Callithrix jacchus: one gene and its partner. The protein of the gene in region 2 purifies or fractionates together with the protein of the main gene of each other region. This does not show direct contact. Links are inferred from orthologs where the notes say so. Each region holds a gene or a part of one and is shown on either strand. Other genes may lie near its edges.

Region 1 (6,000 bases), on a different chromosome or scaffold from region 2:
ACTTCTGGGTTCTGGGTAGCCAGGGACAGTGTCTAAAATCAAAAGAACTTTAAAGGTAGCCCCTTGACAGGGCGCAGTGGCTCATGTCTGTAATCCCAGCACTTGGGGAGGCCGAGGCAGGCCAACATGGTGAAAACCCCATCTCTACTAAAGATCTAAAACTTAGCTGCACATGGTGATGTGCACCTGTAGTTCCAGCTACCCAGGAGGCTGAGGCATGAGAATTGCGTGAACCAGGGAGGCAGAGGTTGCGGTGTGCCGGGGATAGACCAAGACTCTTTCTCAAAAAAAAAAGGCAGCCCCTTTACTGGCAAGATACTTTCTGACTTCAGGGACAAAGCATCAGTGGAACTAATTCAGAGAAAAAGTTCCCTTGTCCAGGTCTTCCTCTTGTGTAACAAAAAGACAATCGCTGGTGTTCATCTTTTTCCTTCAGGCTCTGGGGTTAACAACCTTGTGAATAAGGGCAGTTCTGATCATAAACCTGACTGCATTGCACAATACAGTAGAGTTAGCCAATCCCTTCCTGCCCTATATCCTGGTGTTCTCTTCCCTTTTTAACTAATAAATGTCTTTTGTGGCATTTTTTTCTAGAATAGGACACTTCCATCTACATTAAAAACCTGTGCAGGCGTATAACCTTTCTCAATGATTTTCTTAACAGCGTCTGCTTGGTTGACAGAACCTGCATGTGATGTTTTCTTGACTTTTTTTAAGTCAAACCTCTTTGTAAAATTATAAGACCATCCTTTGCTGACATTAAATTCTCGAGCTTTAGATCCATCACCTTCCTTTTACCTTAAGTTGTTGTGTAATGACGTTGCTTTACCTCAAATCATATTAGAGTCTATGGGTATGTGATAGTAATCCTGCACCCCATAAAAGTTGCATTTTCAATAGGAGACAAGAAGGTATTTTGCAGAAATGCACTTTTTTATGTTTGCTGTGGAGTAGCTGCAGTGATGGCTTCACCTATTTTCTTTCTCTTTTTCTTAACAACGGTCTTTATACAGGATTCATTTATCTTGAAATGGTGGGTAACCAAGCTGTAGTCCTCAATTGATGGTACATGTCAAGCAATTCAGCTCTTGAAAATATTGTCATGACTTTTCTCTGCTTCTTAAAAGCACTTCCAGTGTCACTAGTGGCCTTCTGATGGATCCCATGTTGTTATTCAAGGTTTATGTTACTGCACTAAACACAATGACAAATATGCAAAAACTTCAAAAGATTACTATTTTCTTCATTATGCAATTTACTGGAGAGAGAAACTGCTCTCGTTAGAGTCACAGCATTCTAAACATACTCAGAACACTTGAGCTTAATGCAGTAGTATCAGGAAGTGGCTATGAAAGTATTACGGTAGTACAGTATGTATTCCAGTTAATGTTATGCAGTGATGGCTAAATAAAGCATCTTTACATTTGTTTATATTTCTCTTAATTACATATGGGGTCGTGTCCTGTTTGTGTGCGTAAGTTTTGATAAAATTTTTAAGTTTCTATCATACATTTGTGCATATTTTAATGGAGTAAATGTTAAAATAGGCTAGTATTTACATATATTTTATGCACTTATAACATAGTAGATTTTTCTTAGTTTGTTTCCATTTCTGAGCTGCCTGGACTGGTCTGTGGTCTCTGAGTTTTTCAAACTGTTGCAAGTTTTTTGAAAAAAATTTCAACGTATTTATTGAAGAAAATATGAGTGGAAGTGAATCTGCACAGTTCAAATCTGTCTTGTTCAAGGGCCAGCTGTGCTTACTTTGTATTAAAGGTTTATATTCCTTGAGATACATTTTTGATATTTGGTTCCTCTAAGTGTTAATTAGTCATTATTTTTTAATTCTTTTTTCACCATTCTAGAGGATGTTAAACGTCTCAACGAAAAACTTAAAGAAAGCAATACAACGAAGGGTGAGCTTCAGTTAAAATTGGATGAACTTCAAGCTTCTGATGTTTCTGTTAAGGCAAGTAACAAATGATTCCTAATGCATAAACTATATTTTTTAATTAAAACTCACCTAAATTAAGTTTCAAATATAGGCAATAAAGTAATTAGAAGCTGGATTTTTTGTTTTTAATGTCAAAAAATTAAGCATTAGGACAATTCTAATTCAACTGTTTAGCTTATTTGAAATTTAAGTTTGTTATAGTTCTTAATGTTTTCTAGTTAAGAATCTATGCAAATACTTAATTTCTGTTTTAGAATAAAATTCTACTTGTGTCCCTTAGTTATAGAACAAATCTTTTGAATAGCCATATATCATCTTTAACTGTAGAGGTTACTCTCTTGGATTTCTTTAGTATCGAGAAAAACGCTTGGAACAAGAAAAAGAATTGCTGCATAATCAGAATACATGGCTGAATACGGAGTTGAAAACAAAAACTGATGAACTTTTGGCTCTTGGAAGAGAAAAAGGAAATGAGATTCTAGAGCTTAAATGTAATCTTGAAAATAAAAAAGAGGAGGTAAGTTAGTAAAATTGTATTTTCCTTCATGTTGGGTATAACTTAGATTCCTGTGTCAGTTTGTTAAATATGTATTCAATAGTGTGTACTTGATTAATTTTAAGAGTAGGGGTTAAATGTTAATAACGCATTAACATTTGGCATAGGAAATCAACCAGTTGCATCTAAATAAAGAATTTAAGATAGTCTTCATCAAATCTGGATAGTAACTGCTGTCTTACGATATATCTTTTCTAAAATAACGTGTTTAAGAAGTGGTCTGTGCCTAAAGAAGTGATGGTAAGTTTTTGTGAGCTAAATGGAAACATGCTGTTCTGTAAGCAGTTATTCTTAATTTTCTTACTCATATTTTAATAGCTTTTTCAGCTGGGGATGGGGAGTCACTCAGCTTTTCCTTAGCAGCATGAACCTCATATCAGAGTCATTTCAGTTAATATGACATCCTTTCCTCCAGCTCTGTTTTTTTGTTTTTAGGTTTCTAGACTGGAAGAACAGATGAATGGCTTAAAAACATCAAATGAGCATCTTCAAAAGCATGTGGAGGATCTGTTGACCAAATTAAAAGAGGTATAGATGACCATTAAATTTTTTTATATAAAATGTTAAAGCACTTATGAAGCTGTTATTTCACAAAATGATGTCATGTTTTAATCTCTTTGGCCCCATAAAATGGTGAGAGTACTACTTCCATGTGATGTAACTAGGCTGTAATAGAATCAGAAATAGCAATTATATGTTATATCCAAAATACTATCTAAAAAATGAGTGTGGGTTAATTTTATTATTGTTTAATTATTCTACTTTGAATTTAAAATACCAGTAATGTTTCATCCTTAATTTATCTTGGTCATGAAGACTGATTTGAATTTGAGTGTTTTAGTTTTTATCTCTTACTTTACAAAATGGAATTTTTCATCTTGGCATTCGATAAGTATTCTAAATTAAGTTGAAAGTAGACTGCTCTAATTGGGCTGTCTTTTTCAGGCCAAGGAGCAACAGGCCAGTATGGAAGAGAAATTCCATAACGAATTAAATGCACACATAAAACTTTCTAACTTGTACAAGGTAAATATGCCCCCACACATGTGCCTATCTAAATGTTGCATTGTTGACTTCGGTAACTTTTTAAGATTAACTTTTAGAGTGCCGCTGATGACTCCGAAGCAAAGAGCAATGAACTAACCCGGGCAGTGGATGAACTACACAAACTTTTGAAAGAAGCTGGTGAAGGTAAATGCTTTCAGTTATGGGAACGTTACTTTTGTTATTACATAGAAGGCATTGTTTTTCTTTTTACCCTTGTTTTGTATAGATTATTGGATTTAGGTGTTAGACTTTATTTGGGTTGGAATTAGGTACGGAAGAAAGAACTTTGGATTAGGAAATTTGGAATTATATTTTATGCAAATGTAAGTTTATATGTTTTTGAACATATAGACAGCAGGGGGTTTTTTGCTTGAAGTTTTTCATCTAATAATTTTATATAATTTCCTGATTTCTAATGAGAAAATTTTCTTTTTTGAAACATTTACTCTGATTAAGTATGTTTGAATACTCTTTTACTTCATAAACAAGACATCCTCTTTATCATTTGCATTTTGGAAAGTGTTTTATTTCCTTAAATTTTTGCTTTTTTCAGTGTAAGATATTTATGGTCTTTTCCAATAATGCCCTTTACTTAGTATTAAAGATAGAAATTGAAATCAAAGCTAGACCTAGAACCACTTTTTACCCTTTGAGTTTCCTTATTTTCCTTGTGGGTGAGAGAGATCAAAAGGGGAGCTACTCACCAGCCAAGACAATTCCGAAATTATAAATAGAGCAAGAACTTTCTGTAGCTTCTCTAGAAATGTAGTATGCAGTAGAAATGCTGAGGTGAGAAGTGACTTATCTGGTGCATTTTGTAATCTAAAATTTTAACTATATGTTTGAATATTTGGTCTTTAAAATTGTTTTTAGCCAACAAAGCAATACAAGATCATCTTCTAGAGGTGGAGGAATCTAAAGATCAAATGGAAAAAGAAATGCTCGAGAAAATAGGGAAATTGGAGAAGGAATTAGAGAATGCAAATGACCTTCTTTCTGCCACAAAACGTAAAGGTATGGCTGATAGATGGTTGTTAGTGGCTTGAAATACTATAGCTTTCCTGCATGAAAGTCATTTAATTTCACTAATAGTATTTCTCTGTCATGCTGTGATGTAGGGAAACTCCATCAAGTTCCATTGTTAGAATTTGTTTTAAAATTAATGGTCTATCTGTATCTTTACAGAATTAGGTATCTAAGTACTATTTGATCACACAGTGTTTTGTAAATTCCCAGACGATTGCATGATTTTTAGAATTAGATGTGTCACATGACTTTTTGATGTCATGTTAAAAATGTTTATAGCAATCACTATATAATGTACAGTACATGTCACTTATCTTGAAAAACTTATTAATGGTTTGTAGTTTGGAATTTTACAAATTCCAAATTATATATTTTGATACAGGAGCCATATTATCTGAAGAAGAGCTTGCAGCCATGTCTCCTACTGCAGCAGCTGTAGCTAAAATAGTGAAACCTGGGATGAAATTAACTGAGGTAAGAATGATAGTAAATCTTGATATTTTCTTATTTTGCTTCAGCAAAGGTATACAAATCTCTCTGAAATTTAATTCTCTCAAAAATTGTTTTGAAAATCATTTTATAATTAATGGATTATTCTAGGAAAGTCTTCCTGTAGTTCCTAGTTCTGTGTATCTAACATATAGTAAACATTTCTGTGTTGTGTAAGTGTTAAAGAATGTTTATTATGAAACTAGATAGACTACATATTTGTGTTGTTATGGTTAGATTTCAAACAATCCTTCTACTTTCAGCTCTATAATGCTTATGTGGAAACTCAGGATCAGTTGCTTTTGGAGAAACTAGAGAACAAAAGAATTAATAAGTACCTAGATGAAATAGTGAAAGAAGTGGAAGCCAAAGCACCAATTTTGAAACGCCAGCGTGAAGAATATGAACGAGCACAGAAAGCTGTAGCAAGTTTATCTGTTAAGCTTGAACAAGCCATGAAGGTTGGTTCCATTCCTAAAATTTAGCTGTGGTAATGATACAAATGAGAAATGATTTACTACGTATTTTTTAATTAGGTGATTGAGTAAAAAAAAATGTAAATATGATTTTCAGTAAATAAATTTTGAAACTTCTCATTACATTATTAAACACTGCTAATCATAAAATGTTCTACCTTTATTTAGCAATTTTTATTTATTTCACAATTGGTATTTAAAATTGTGAAAGCATTTTAACGTTTTTTTAATGCATTTGATATGTTTTCCTTAGGATTCTCAACAAGAAAATAATAGCCAAATCTCCTTATACATCTCTTCAAATTAATCTCTCTGTGTAACACAACCCTCCTATTTAGTGTAGTAATTGTTTATCAGACAGTTGCAAGATCCTGCCTAGAAATAATGTATTATTTGACCATAGAGCTCCTTTTTTCTACCATTTCACAATTTGGCATATCTTTATATACATT
Region 2 (6,429 bases):
CCCAGCTGTTGGGAATAAGGGAATGAAGGATACTCCAGAGCAAACAGTTGGAATTTGAGTATCTTTGGGATAGATGCTTCCTGGTCTTCAGCTCCTGAAGAGCTGTGCTTTCCCAGACCTTTTCTCCAGTTTCTTAACAATTCCAAGAGCTCCTGATGTGTTTCCAGTAAATTCCTTTTTAAGTTAATCAGTCAATTTCTGTCACTGCAACCAAGAATACTAAATCCAAAGCTACCATGTATACAAATATATACCACATAAGAAATTTATTCCAAATCCTTTATGGTAATGAAATGAGTATGTTTTGAAATTTTGGTGGGGGCCATATGGTGTTCATCCCTAGTAATTAAATGTGTCAAAGAGAAACGCAGTGCACTTTCCAGAAAGTTTTCTGTCTTTGCATATGTACTGAACACAGGGCTAATTTTTTTTGCCCCAAACTGCTCTTCTTTCTTATTGTGTGCTTCATGGTCAACCACCTCAAGTACACTTCAGTTATATTACATGAATAAAACTCACTGGAATTCAATTGCTGAGGGACATGGAGCAAGAACCTGAACCACAGATAACACTTTGAATTAACTTGCCCCAGCACTGACAAAAATCATTAGCACCACATTTTGCTTTCTATAAGAACAAGCGTACTTTTTGTACAGGAAAATTAGGAGGTTGGGAGAATGAGACCACACCAGGGCATAATTCTTCAAAAAGGTTATTGAAGGAGTAAAGTAACATTTCGATGACCTGCTATGTACAGTGTATATTTGATGTCTCTCTCTCATGCCCACTCCCCTACTTTTTAAAAAATATTTGTGATGGTGCAGTGGTTCACGCCTGTAATTCCAGCACTTTGGGAGACCAAGGCAGGTGGATCACATGATGTCAGGAGTTTGAGACCAGCCTGATCCATATGGAGAAACCCCATCTCTACTAAAAATGCAAAAAATTAGCCCGGCATGGTGGTGCATTCCAGTAATCCCAGTTATTTAAGAAGCTGAAGCAGAATTGTTTAAACCTGGGAGGCAGAGGTTGCAGTGAGCCAATCTCATGTCACTGCACTCCATCCTGGGTGATAAAGCGAGACCCTGCCTCAAAAAAAAAAAAAAAAAATATATATATATATATATATATATATTGCAGAAACAGGGTCTCATGTTGTTGCCCAGGCTGGTCTCAAACTCTTGGGCCCAAGCCATCCCTCCCACCTGGACCTCCCAAAGTGCTGGGATTACAGGGGTAGCCACCGCACCCGACAGTGCTTAGCTTTTTCATAGATGTAGCTTTTTCCTTGCTTGCAGACTTCGCAGTGAGCCGAGATCACGCCACGGCCCTCCAGCCTGGACTAGAGCGAGACATAATCTCAAAAAGAAAAGAAAAAAAAGCTCAGCACTGTCACCAGGAATATATGGCAAGAAAAGCTGGCAATTTCTACATATCTGTGAAACCCAAAATGTCATTTGCAATAAGGATCAAATGTATCAATAGTGTAAGCCCAAAAGTCTGTGGCAACTTCTTCACTTTCCCCAGATTGTCAATGGCACCTTTGTTAAACTCAACAAGGTTTCGGTTAACAATGTTGAGGATTGCAGAACCACCTATTGCATGGGGCACCTGAACCTGAAATCAACAAATAAACTGATATACCTACTGGTTATAGTAAAACCAATAAACAAATTACCTTAACAGAGATAACTCTTTAATTGCTAGATCTCTTGATAAATATGGCATCATCTGACTGGAGAATCTGATTCGAGAGCTCTATGTTGTTGAAAAATTCTTCAAGTTCCCGTGATCCTTCAAATTATCTTCTCCACGAGGTAGAATGAAGGACTACCTATTTTGTATTAATGAAAGGTATAAATGCCAGCAACAGAAAAGACCATATCAACAGGCTTATTAAATGGATAAACTGAGGTGTCTAATATTATTTTTGTAATCTTATCAGTTAATAACCAGTCACTACTTTCAAATATGAAAAAAAACAAAAATGTGACTCCTTCAAGACCAAAATATAACCACTATTTGCCTACACGGCACTTTGAATAGAGGGCAATACCATCATATTTTACGCTTGCCTTTCTACTTTTTAATACGGGTGAACTTTTTTTCCTCCATAGCAAAAAATACCAAGTAAAGAACAAATAGCAGTTATGGAAAATACTTTCAAAAACTGTATGAAGCTACAGCACAAAGGACTGAGCGTAGGGAGAGAAACAGAAATTTCTCGAGGCAGAGCCCACATATCTGAATTCCAACAACAGGCGCTTTCTGAGAGAATACCAGGTAATGACTTCACATTTTTCCAGACTATCAACATAATTCGTTTTTCCCAGTAGGAGAACCCAACGCCTGTTCCACGCCCACAGACATCGGTCAGGCAAAGCGGCCGCAACGCTTCCGGGCTAAACGCGACTAGGTCCCGCCCCCGGTCCTGTCTGGTCCAGCCAGGCACAAGTTGGCAAACTTTGCGCCTGCGCCCACCGGGCTAGCTCATGTAGGCTCAAGTCGCGCATGCGCTAGGTGGGAACGTTGTTTCTTCTCCCCTGCGCTTTTTCTGTGGGGCTGTTTTAGGGAGAGTGCTTCCAGGTCGAAAGGCTTGCTTCCGGAGAGCGGGAAGGCTAAAACGCGGTAACTAAACTGGAGCCAACCTTGGTTCTGTATGGAAAAGGCTTTAGCCATGGACAGGTCAGTTCTGATCGTGGGAGCTGAGCCCGAAGTCTTGTCCCTCTCGCCTGCTGGCGAAACGAAATAGGTGAAACTAGACTCCCAGAAAAAGCCAAGGAGGAGGTCCCGGGTGCTTCCCCTAAGACTCCTTCCCCAGGCCAGGAAATTTGGCTACAAATGCGGAAAAGGTCGCTTGGCTTGCGTCGGGGTGGGATACGGATTATGATGGTTCCCTACATTCTCACTGTGTTCTGCGATCTATTCGGCGCTTTGGGGCAGCAACACTATTCTTTCCTGAGGTGGGCGGGGTAGGTAGCCCGGCGTTCTACATGCTGAGTGACCAGCCTGAGATCACAAAGCCAGTCAATGAAGATACTGGGATCTCAGCCCAGACTTTCTGATCACAAGTGCCAGCATCAAATACTGGGTTCCTTCTATAATCTGGGTATTATGCTAGCCGGCTGCAACAAAGATCAGTTATTCAAGATCCTTCACCTCGGGGAATTGGTTGTGTAGTGGAGACAACCAAGCATATAAAGTGATAAGTGTTTTGGAACGATTAAGTCTCCCTGTCACTATATAACTATCAGGAAGACCTCTCGAAGAAGGTAACTTTCTAGTTGGTGTTTGAGTAATAATAGTACATTATTGGTACTCCAAACCTTGAGTACTGCTATGTGACTGCATTGTTCCAAAGGATTTGAATATATATTATTAGCTTGTTTAATCTTCAGAACAAGAAAAATTCTATGAAAATATGTGCTGTTATCCTTTTTTCATAGATACCACTGAGACTAAAAGAGGTTAAGGAACTTGCTGAAAGTTAGAAGGCTAGTAGTAAATACAAGGACCAAATTCCCAACCTGCATCTGTGTGTCTCCAGGCTACCTGGGGCTCTTTGAGGAGTAAGTAGTTGTTGACCAGGTGCTCAAGGGAGCCACTGTAGGTCGTTTTAAAAGAAACTTATTCAAAGGTGTTAGGATATAGAAAAAAGTACGTGCTTTGTCGGCAGTCACATGCAGAATATGTTTAAAGCGATATTTGTGGCTGAATATAAGACTGAACCTCTAAACTGGGGTCACATTGTAAATAGCTTTTTAGGGAATTTGTACTTCTATAGACTAGAGAGAGATATCTGAAGTTTTTTTTGTTGTTGTTTTTTAATTAAACCTTTTAAATTTTGTTTTGGTTATTGTTTTCCATACTTTCTTGCTGAAGGAATATCTGAAGGTTTTAAGTGGAGGAAAAGCATATCAGATTCTTGCCTTAAACATAGGCCTTTTCATCCACACAATTTCGTTTCTAGACCTTTGAGTGAAAATGACAGGGAGTGATGTGATGGGACAGGAGACATCCTGGGTTGAAATAATTTGAAGGATCATTCTGCTCCATTTACCAGAATTCTTTTATTTACCCTCTTATCTCACAAGCTCTGTTTTGTGTTGTTGTTTGTTTTTCAGTGGTACCTGTGTTTTAAAGCATTTTGGAGACTGCAGAAAATCTTTTAAGAGAGAATTCCTGTAATTAGATAACTCCTCAATCCAACAAGGGAAATGAGATTGACTTTTATGAAGCAGTTATCTAAAACAGTGTTATAGATTCCAAGTGTTGAAATAATTCCTTAGGAGAAAATAACATAGTGAGTACTAGAAAGTCAGAGAAGTCTTTGTGCAGGTAAGATTTGAGTAAGGCTTTGAAGAATAAGCAGGATTTGGAGCCAGGAGTGCATTCTCAGCAAAAGATCTAAGACTTGGCTATTGGAATGACCTATACCACAACTTACTCAGAGCCCTTTACTCCAGCTGTGATGATAAAATTCTTTTACAAATACTACATTCTCATTTCACTTATGTAAGCTTGATTATACTACTTTAGGAGTGGCTTTGGAGATATATCATCCCCTGTTATCCGGGAGGCAGAGGTGACACGGACTGCACGGAAACAGAGTGCTCAAAAAAGAGTTTTAAGTATCCTTTGCGATTTAAGCATCATTATAAAAATTGTAACATGCTTGGAATCGGTGTTGTAGAATTTTCTTTTATGAGAGTATTAAATGTTAGCTGTAATAAAATCCTGTAGAAATTTTTTTTCACTCTGCGGAACTGTCATTTGGTAAATATAATGCTAAAATTTAATGAGATTATGTTTCCCTAAGAATAAAGATATTTCATTTTACTACTGACTATCATATTGTGGTTAGCTTCTGCTGAAATTAGATTTTTTTATTATTTGAAAACTGACTAAAAACATTTAGTTCAGTAGTTATCTAAGACTGACATCTGAGAATTTAAATGGCAGAAGGAATCATTTACCCTTTGCATAGAAAAATAGTAGCCATAAAATACCTTATTCTTGGTAAATGTATTCACATAATTTGTATAGTAAAAATATTGTTAGTTCTCACTTTAATGATCTCTTTTCTACGTGGAAAACTTTTCTTAACTCATTGTACAGTTCAGTCATCTCAAGATGAAAATTTTGGTAATACTACACCAAGAAACCAGGTTATTCCTCGAACTCCTAGCTCATTTCGACAGCCTTGTAAGACTTTTTTGCTTTTAAAGCACTTAATAATAATGATAATTATAATAGCAGCTAACATTTATTGTAGAACAATTAGTATTTGGTTACTATATCAATAATTAAGCACAAATAATAATGATTGCAGTTATTTGTTGAACTCTTGCCATGTACAAAGTACTGTATTTTACATAAACACACAGTAACTATGACATAGGTATTGTTAATTCTATTTTACCAAAACTGAAAGCAAGACTTAGAGAAGTTATAATATAGGCAATAAGTATGTAAATAAGCTGGATACAGTGGCTCACGCCTGTAATCTCAACACTTTGGGAGGCTGAGGTGGGCAGATCACTTGAGGCTAGGAGTTCGAGATCAGCTTGGCCAACATGGTGAAACTCCATCTCTACTAAGAATACAAAAATTAGCTGGCGTAGTGGGTCATGCTTGTAATCCCAGCTACTCAGGAGGCTGAGGCAGGAGAATTGCCTGAACCAAGGAGGTAGAGGTTGCAGTGAGCTGCGATTGTGCCACTGTACTCCAGCCAGGGCGAAAGAGTAAGACTCTGTAAAGTATGTAAATAATGGAATTGGGATTCAAACAATGATCTGTTTACTCCAAAGTTTATGCCCACTGCAATTCACTGCCTCGGTAAGCCTTATAAAATTAAAACATGAAGAGTCCATTGACTCATTAGTGTTTTTAACTGCTCAGTTATGCTATAATGAAAGCATCCATAATTGCAGTAAGATTTTTCCTGATAGGCTCAGTAGTACCTAGAACTCAAATTTAGAAAAATAACTTAAATCCTTGTATTGTGAAAATGTTAACATTTAAAGTATTTATCTGGTTAGAGTCTAAATGATGGAAAACGGAAAAATTTATTTTTCCTTGTTTGTTTGCTTACTTTGTTTTGATAATGAATGCTCATGCACCTTAAGTTTTTTTCTACCAACCTTTTGTTTGTAGTTACCCCAGCATACCGAAGCTTACTAAGACAGCCGGATATTTCCTGCATTCTTGGAACAGGAGGGAAGTCGCCTCGACTCACGCAATCTTCAGGGATCTTGGGAAATCTCTCCATGGTATGTAGAAAAATAGGGCTAAGAACTTCTCCTTTTGTGTCGAGTGTGGTGGCTCACACCTCTAATTTCAGCACTCTTTAAACTCCTGACCTGAAGTGATTCTCCTGCCTTGGCCTTCCAGAGGTCAGGAGTTTGAGACCAACCTGGCTAACATGAT

The links. Proteins that work in one complex are often made in the same cells at the same time.
Region 1: the proteins of NUP107 (region 2) and TPR fractionate together in Homo sapiens (co-fractionation; 4 studies listed by BioGRID and IntAct, with this or other methods). This does not show direct contact. The link is inferred for Callithrix jacchus from reciprocal best matches to the Homo sapiens genes NUP107 and TPR.

What each region holds. Positions count from the first base shown.
Region 1 is NC_133519.1:44,385,181-44,391,180, reverse strand, and holds part of TPR (nucleoprotein TPR), read left to right. Parts: intron 1-1,865; coding exon 1,866-1,969; intron 1,970-2,306; coding exon 2,307-2,471; intron 2,472-2,945; coding exon 2,946-3,038; intron 3,039-3,455; coding exon 3,456-3,536; intron 3,537-3,613; coding exon 3,614-3,701; intron 3,702-4,430; coding exon 4,431-4,571; intron 4,572-4,965; coding exon 4,966-5,057; intron 5,058-5,335; coding exon 5,336-5,533; intron 5,534-6,000.
Region 2 is NC_133510.1:50,460,694-50,467,122, reverse strand, and holds the start of NUP107 (nuclear pore complex protein Nup107), read left to right. Parts: upstream 1-2,592; 5' UTR 2,593-2,659; coding exon 2,660-2,685; exon of another isoform or gene 2,686-3,272; intron 3,273-4,539; coding exon 4,540-4,631; intron 4,632-5,118; coding exon 5,119-5,205; intron 5,206-6,156; coding exon 6,157-6,272; intron 6,273-6,429. UniProt on the Homo sapiens protein: Plays a role in the nuclear pore complex (NPC) assembly and/or maintenance. Required for the assembly of peripheral proteins into the NPC. May anchor NUP62 to the NPC. Involved in nephrogenesis.